2 linked regions of the Cricetulus griseus genome follow. The main gene of each other region encodes a partner of the protein of the gene in region 2 in a complex. Links are inferred from orthologs where the notes say so. Each region holds a gene or a part of one and is shown on either strand. Other genes may lie near its edges.

The links. The genes of interacting proteins can lie anywhere in the genome.
Region 1: the proteins of Lpl (region 2) and Gpihbp1 are in contact, whole or in part, in a crystal structure (PDB 6OAU), measured with the Homo sapiens proteins. The link is inferred for Cricetulus griseus from reciprocal best matches to the Homo sapiens genes LPL and GPIHBP1. Residues at the interface, in NP_000228.1 of Homo sapiens: Tyr367, Gly368, Thr369, Ala371, Glu372, Glu374, Leu403, Met404, Lys406, Lys430, Lys440, Ile443, Cys445, Ser446, Arg447, Glu448, Val463, Lys464, Cys465, His466, Asp467, Ser469; in NP_835466.2 of Homo sapiens: Cys68, Lys69, Ser70, Leu92, Ala94, His95, Gly96, Asn97, Thr98, Glu99, Ser100, Leu103, Thr104, Thr105, Ser107, Trp109, Cys110, Thr111, Asp112, Ile117, Lys119, Val121, Glu122, Thr124, Val126, Met128.

What each region holds. Positions count from the first base shown.
Region 1 is NC_048595.1:372,879,304-372,882,945, reverse strand, and holds Gpihbp1 (glycosylphosphatidylinositol-anchored high density lipoprotein-binding protein 1), read right to left. Parts: upstream 2,471-3,642; coding exon 2,419-2,470; intron 2,112-2,418; coding exon 1,986-2,111; intron 1,593-1,985; coding exon 1,476-1,592; intron 1,377-1,475; coding exon 1,221-1,376; intron 1,173-1,220; coding exon 934-1,172; 3' UTR 657-933; downstream 1-656.
Region 2 is NW_023276806.1:245,574,368-245,578,667, reverse strand, and holds the start of Lpl (lipoprotein lipase), read right to left. Parts: upstream 2,837-4,300; 5' UTR 2,593-2,836; coding exon 2,505-2,592; intron 1-2,504. UniProt on the Homo sapiens protein: Key enzyme in triglyceride metabolism.

The sequences.
Region 1 (3,642 bases), on a different chromosome or scaffold from region 2:
CCTTAAGCCTCATTCTTTGCTACACAAGTGGGAAGACTAAGGCCAAAGTCAGCAGTGGCCGAGGTTTAGCCTTCTCTCTCTCACCTTAGACATCTGTCCTGGCACCAACTGCTGGTGGAAGAATAGCTTGGTGCTGTCAAGGAAGCCAAGAACTCAGCTGCTAAGGGCCACACCCAGTTAAGGACTGCCAATCCGCCAAGTGGCCAGGTTCCCCATCAAGGAGGTGCCTCCCCCAGCCAGAAAAGGTACCCACCCACCCAGGCAGGGATGGGTGCTAGCCATTTCTCTGCCACTAGAACCCATCGGGCTTTTCATTCCCAGACCTGCTGCCCATCTTGGGCTCCTGGAGGCCTGGGCTGTGAGAGAGGGTCTGGAATCCTTAAAAGGATGAATTTCTTGGCCAGGTTGCAGCTGGGAAATCCCCTACTCAGCAGCTGGGCCTTCCTGCCTGTTCTGCCTCCTCCCTTCCTTGACTGTAGTTACTCTACCTCAACCCTGCAACTTTCCTGGTCTCCCTCCAAGACTCCCTCTTTCCAGGTGGCTGAGGATCACCCTGCACCTCACACCTGTGAAAGGGCTGAGTTTATTTAGATGGTGGCTCCGGGGAATAATTTCATGCTGGCAAATTCAGGAAGAGAATTCGGCTTACAGGCTTGCTATTATCTCTGTGCAGCTGGGCAGGTGGGACCCCTGTAAGCTGACCATCCCTAGAGCACTGGCAGGAGATGCCTGGACCCGAGGCTGACATGGTACCCAGGGAGCTGCCCATGGCTGAGGAGAAGAAGGTGAGGAGGCCTGAGGGTGAAACTGAGGACAGAGAATGGTCAGAGGAGCTACAGCTAGCTGGATTGCAAAAGGAATTCAAGTTTATTCTCTGAAGCTGGCTGTGGGGAAGGGGAGGCCAGGGTATCCTGTTAGGAGGAGGGTAGGTCTTCAGACCCCTAATGTCCATAGACTAGTGAGGAGGCTGAGCAGGAGGGCTGTGTTACCAAATTTGTGCCAGCCTGGAGGGCATCCTGCCCCACTGCCCTGGGGCTTGTTAGCTCTTCCACCCTTGGGCAAGCTAGCCCCATCACTCTGAGGACGGGTAATCTTGACAACCTGGGGGTGGTCAATCCTGCCATCTTGAGGATGTCTGACTCCACCATCCAGGGGGCTACCTGCAATGCCACCTTGAGAACGTCTGGCTCCACCATCCACGGGGCTGCCTGCTTGTCCACCCAAAGAGTCCTGGACTTGGGGGCTTTGCCAGGGTGGAATATTGCACAGTGTGGACTGGCAACAGCTCTTGGTCACCTGGGTGCCTAATACCGTCTTGGTGAAGGGTTGGCAGGTATCGGTACACCACATGGAGTAGGTGGTCAACAGACCTTTGTCTAGGGGGTGTGGAGAACAGGTAGTGAGGGCAGGGCGTGGGTGTCAGTGTGGGCTCCTTCTCTGACCCCCTCCCTGGGTGTGCCTCTCCAAATGCTCACCAGTGTTGCCATGGGAGATGAATGTGGTGCAGAAGGTCTTACTGTGGTAGCAGCTCTGTGTCTGGTTGCAGCTCTCCCCACTGTGTAGCGACTGGCAGATGTAGCACTGTAAAGATTCTGTGGGTAGCAGGCCAGCTCAGGTTGAGAGTAGGGCCATCCCCAAGTACTTGCCCTCATCATCCACCACCCATCACCCACTAGTCCTCTTGAAAGAGCCTGTGCCTTGAGCTATTAAGGACGACAGAACATGGGGGTCAGTCAGATAAGCTGAAACCCAGGGCTAAGGAAGCACGTAGGCAGGGGTGGGGGTGGGGTGGACAGAGAGGGGCAGACTTGAGTGTTAGCTCAGGGTGGAGAAAACTGCAGCCTGAGAAGAGAGCCGGTGTGCTGGCATGCTGGGTCCTGGCTTGGATGCCAGCAGCTTGCTCTGCTTTACCCTCGGGATAGGAGGTAAGTGATAGAGAATGCCCCATGCAGAGCAGGAGGCGGGCCCTCAGCTGGGGTGGGTACCTCTGTCCCTGCTGCCAGGGACCATGTTGGTCTCCTCTTCTTCCTCCTCTTCATAGTCATCTTCGTAGCCATAGCTCTCTGGCCCCAAGTCCACATCGCCATCTTCTTCTTGTGCCTGCCTGCTCCCTGGTGGTGCAGTGACATCTGTGAGCCTCGGCTATCCAGACGCAGAGAACACACTCGGGGTTGAGCACTAAGTCCTGACCCTAACATGCCCTCTTTCCCGGGTCCTTTCCATTTTATACAAGGAGACAGAATTCTCCCCATCTCCACCCCTGTAGTGCTGAAGCAGTCAAGCCTGCAGCCGGCAGAAGGAAGGGGCCCCAGGCCCTCCATCTTCCTCCCTAAGCCTATTCCTTGTCCATGGGATAAGGGGTTCCTGGAGGTACTCATGAGTCAGGACTGGACTACCCCTTCTTGGGATGACCCTCACCTGACTGTCCACTTAGCAGCAAGACCAGAAGGACAACCCTGAGTGCCTTCATCCTGGAGCAGGCTGTTCTGTCCAGTGTTGCACTCCTCACTCGGGCTTCTGGGTCTGCAGTAAGTGGGACATAGGGCATTACTGGGGGCTTCCCGTGGCCCCCACCAGCTCTAACCTGAAACAATAGGCTTCACATTGGTTTTCAGCTGCAGGCGGCGCCAGGCCAGGAACATCGCTTTCCTCAAGGACCTCCGGGGACAGAGAGGAAAGGGAAGTTGTTATATTGGCCTTGGTTGTGCTGTCCACCTGAGCTGTTCCCATTGCCTGGTGGGGGGCTACAAAAGGTAAGTGCTGGCCTCAGGAACCACCTTGTCCTGTCCTGACTCCTGGGCCTCCAGGCCTCAGCATTGTCATGCTTGATGTGGGTGAGCTTGATGAGATAAGCACCTATCCCAAACCTCTGGGGACCCTGGATGCACAGCTACAAGGGCTTAGGACTCTATCTGAGGGCCACAGGCAGGTACCTTCCACCTGAGTGCAGAGTATTCAGATGAGAGCATGGTCTGTCCAACTTAGCTCGGAGAACCACTCTTCCTCTCACCTCCTGGCCTTGATCTTGCTGGCCCAGGCTCCTGCTGCACTGGCCGCCTCTTCCTTAGACTGTAACTCTTTCCCCCTTCAATCTCTTTATGAGTTAGTTACCTCTCCTGAAGTTTCCCTACTGCTCCATATCACACTTGGTTGGATGGTTGTCCCTTGATAGTGCAGCCTCTAACCCCTCAAGGATACCCCGACCACTGATGAGGCTACAGAAGGTAGGTGCTGTCCCTGGGCTTCTGCACTTAGGTAGGTGTTGACTTTGAGGCAGGGAGCCTTCTGGGACTGGCTATAATCTACCTGGCCTGGCTTCTGCCTGGCAAAGCCATTGACTCCAGCCACTGTCTCCCCCAGGGTACTCTGTGTGAGCCCTTGGTGGCGTCAGGTCTCTCTCTGGGTGCAGGGGTAGTATGGCCTCTTTGTTTGACAGCACCAATAGTGGGGGCACACACTGTTCCCAGTGCTACATCCACCCTCCCAGACCCAGCATATACTGTCCCCAGCCCTACAGGGGAGTTTGCAGATGGGAGAGCTAGGTCCCGGAGAGTCATGTTCCCTCACCTGAGGTATGGAGGGAGGCTGGCCAGGAGGTTGAATCAGTGTCAGGCCCTGGGAAGTTTGCCTGTCTTGTGGTTT
Region 2 (4,300 bases):
TGAGTTCGAGACCAGACTGGTTTACAGAATGAGTTCCAGGACAGCCTAATCTACACATAGAAAACCTTGCCTCAAAAACAAAACAAAACAGCAAAAAAGATGCAGCCTTTGTGATAATAAGGTGGAAACCGGCCGTGGTCAGAGGGAAAAGGGACACATGGCATGCTGGACAACCTGACAGAACAGAAGCAGTCAACTGAGTGTAACCGTCTCCTCTACAATGCAGCAGCAAAGGGAAGCTGTGCTAAAAATACACTCAGAGAAAGAAACTGAACATCTTTCCATTGCAACTCTCCCTGCCACGTGACTCCCCCCACCTTTCAATCCAGCTATTAATCAATCACTCCCCTGTCAAGTTCTCTCCTAGTGACATTTGCCATTGCTGTCATTATCCAGTTATTTAACTATGATATTAACCCGCAAGTGAGCACTGTGCCCTGAGGAACAGGACTTCACAGAGCAGGGCCCTCTCTGCTCCCTCTTTTAGCTCTCTACTTTCCTGACTGGAGCCAGGAGGGGCTGCAGAGGCTCCAGGAAGAAGTCTCCAGGGCAATGTCTCTCATACGAGGGCACTGTTCCCAGAAAAAAAAAAAATCAAGAGCGATCAAGGAAACTCAAAGCCCAAAGGGAAACTGGGGTCACTCCAAGCTGTGCCTTTCCCACAGTCTTGCCCCTGGGGGAATTCATTTGTGAGAGAAAGGACTAGAAGGTGCTGTGATAGAAGAAGCACACCGGTAGAGAGAACAGAAAGATGATCAGAGAGAATAATTTTACATCTGCTTCAGCATACTATTCCCTAACACATTTTGTTGATAGGAAAATCAGGTGTTGGCTAAAATCCAAAATTATTACGCAATTACTTAGGTGTCCATTTAAATTATAGTATAAGATTGGGACCTCACTTTGAGGCTTGCCAGCTTCTCTAATGTTAGAACCCATGTAGCTAACCCCACAAGGGTGACACACGATGTGGCTGAGAAGCTGGGTCCAGAGCTTATAAGGAAACCTTAGCAAAATTTGAAGATGTGGACGACCCCAGGGGCGTTTACAGTAAAAGCAGTTTTATACTGCGATGTGCTTTCTGGAATATGAATTAACCAGAGTAGCAAACTGTACAGAAAGACAATCTGCTCCAGGAAAGCCACAATATTTGTGTCCTCAAACACCTGAGATTCTTATCTTCCTTGCAGTTCTCCCATGATTGATTCTCTCTTCTCTGATAACTCAGCAAAGACATTTACAACTATATGCAGAAATAAAGCTCGCTTTCAGCTGCAGTCCCAGACTCCACTAAGACTGCAGTCCCAGACTCCACTGGAATTAGGCTGCGGACTTGCCACCTTAGAGCACCTCCAGGGAACACCACCTTCATGGCGATTCCACCAGCAGCAACACAAGGAAACAACAGCCTCCTTTTATGACTGGGTTCAGTTACATTTTGAGTCTGTGCTCTGTTAGCTCAACCAAGGTTCAAGTTACAAGGCTTCTCAATTGTGGGCAGGTCTCGACTGCAAGGCCATAAAGAAACTCACAACTGACCCTAGTCGTCTTCTCTAAGCAGAGAGAGCAGGCAGCGCCCTGTAGGTGACCGCCTTTGTGACAGTAGTGCTGACTGAAACCTCCCTGGACACTAGAAAACCACTTGTTCTCTAAGCTAGCAGAGCACCTCTCCTCGGGCGAGCGTTTCCTGGGAGAACAGAAAGAGTAGAGTGCCGAACTGGCAACCCCCAAGCCAAAGGCCCCAGAGTACTGTGGCTGAGTCACGTTTTCCCGAGGATCAGCCGTTTACTGGGTTTTCTTAGGTACTGAGCTAAACGGAGGGCAAGAGCTTGGAGAGTGGATAGCTCCCCGGCTCAGGAACGCGTGCAGGACGCTGGGTCCTAGGACTCCGGGCCACGCGTTCCTCTACGCCACCGCCACGGCGCACTGCACTCCCACTCCCAGCTCGTAGCGTTGCCCGGAGAGCGACAATGCCCTGTGCAGCCGGGACGCAGACAACGCGTCCTCCCACCCCCATCCCTGATGAAGCCACACTCGGCTCACTCTTCCCGCCTTCAGAAGTGTCGGACCCGTAGTCCCAGCCAAATTAGAGTCACCTTGGCCTCGGTGCTTTGCATTCAGCACTCCCACTCCCTAAGAGGAGGTTAGAACTTGTCACTAGTGCATCGCCCCCGACCTCCAGGTCTCCCCCATCCCTTCGGTCACACCCCCGGCCCTTCCCTGCTATGGCCCGCGGCGGGAGAGAGCTAGGGACAGAGCGGGAAACCGGGAGAGAGAGAGAAAAAAGCGGGAACCCGGAGTTGCCGCAGCGTGATCAAAGGCTGAGTCTTTCCTTGCTCCTACTGAATTCTGCTCCAGCCACCCTTCCTGGGACTCCCTTTCCCTGATGCGCCCGGGAGTCCCAGTGAGCGCCGCTTCCAACTTTCTCCTTCCCATCTTCAGATGGAGAGGAAATGGTCTCGATCCGGTCTGCAGGTGGAGGCAAGTCGGCGCTCAAAACGTACCGTCTGCTGCGGCCACCCCTCCTTGGGAGGCGGTCAAACTCTGGAGCCACACTCCCAGAGCCACCAGGAGCAGGGCTTTGCTCTCCATCTCCCTGGGCGTCCTTCTGCTTTGCTGTGGGAAGTGCGCGGCGCGGTGCGGACGAGCGGGCGAGCGGGCGGGCGGACGGGCGGGCGGGCTGGAGCAGATACGTGTAGCAAGGGGTTGAGCAGGAGGCGCCAAAGGGCTGGAGCGCGGTAGAGCGCCGCAGGGCAAGTCAACCTTTAAAGAGGGGAGGGCAGGGCAGCTGGAAGGGACAGAATTCCTCGGAGGAGGAGGAATCGAATCTGACGGTTTCCACTCCACTGCTGCTTAAGTGACTGGAAATATGCAAATAAGCCTCATCACCTATTGGCTATAAAATCATAAGTTGGGGGGAGGACTCTAAATTCACTTCCAAATATTTGAGCAAACTAGCGAGGCTCAACGGTGCCAGCAAGAAGCGGGGGAAAGGGCGGGAGGGAAATCTTGCTTGTGGTTTAAGCTCTGCTTTGCTTACCCTGAGGAACCTGCCCCCCCCGCCCCCCAGGGACTCCTGTGGATACACGGAGGAGGGGTTTAAGTATTCAACCATCAGTTTTCCGAGTGGAGGAAATTTTGCTCTTAAAAGACAGCTGCCCAACGCTTTGATTCCTTCTCCCTTTTGATGAATCCTCTTTGTTAAACTTAAGAGTTCTTTTCTACAGTACCGTTGCCCCATTCCTCCCCCACCCCTGCGCCCAAGGGACCTTATGACGTACACTGCTCAGCGCCCGGTGCTTTCACAGCCTGCTTTTTATCGTTGGCAATATGGATTTCCTTCTGTGGTAGAAGAACAGGCCCACTTGTGTTAACTAGTTTCTAATTTTGCCTTATGCAAATTGTACTCTTGTTTTCTAATTCAACAAGAAACGCAAGAATAACATTTGTCTTCAGAGGCAGAAGGTCATGGTCAAATATTTTAAGCTATACTGGGTTCTCCGTGGAAGAAGCCATTCTAAAAGGCACGCATTTTGCACCATCCCAAACCTACAAAGACAGGAAATAGATTAGTGATGGCCCAGGATGAAGGAATATGGAGCGCTGGGGGTTAGGGGGATGTAGAAATATTCTGATTCCATTATGATTGGCACTGCACAACTTTTTAGATGCATTAATATTGAATTGTACTCTGCATGGGCGAACACTGAGCTTTTTGCAAAGTGGATTAGGACATGTACGTAGAATGAGAAGAAAAATAAAGTCACATCCTATACTATGCCTGTCTGCCCCCAAAACGTGGAATATTTGCATCTTTTTAAATGAAGAGGATGCTGATTGGCTAGAAAGAAAGTAAACATTAAACACCCCACATTAAAGCTGAGAAGTCACCTCAGAAAATCAGAACCTCCAACAGGCTTTCTTTACTGATCTTGATATTTTTAATTGGCTGTCTCTCCGAAACACACACACACACACACACACACACACACACACACACACACACACTTACACAATAAGCTTCGATATAGGCCCACTTTTTAAGTTTTCTCAAAACTACAACATAAAAGCTGAACATGCTTTTCTGTAGATGAGTTCTGTCCCTCCCTCCTCATGTCTCAGTTTCTTATTTTGCACTGCAATCCTTAAACAGTGTATCATCCACATTCATTACCAGCTCCAAAGCTTGACAGCTGGCAAGAGTGAAACTCCACTGAACAACTTTGGAAATGGCAGAAGATAAGCCAGGGTGCATAACTAGAATTCAGCCAACCTCCAAGAGAAGTGTATAGGAAGCTCT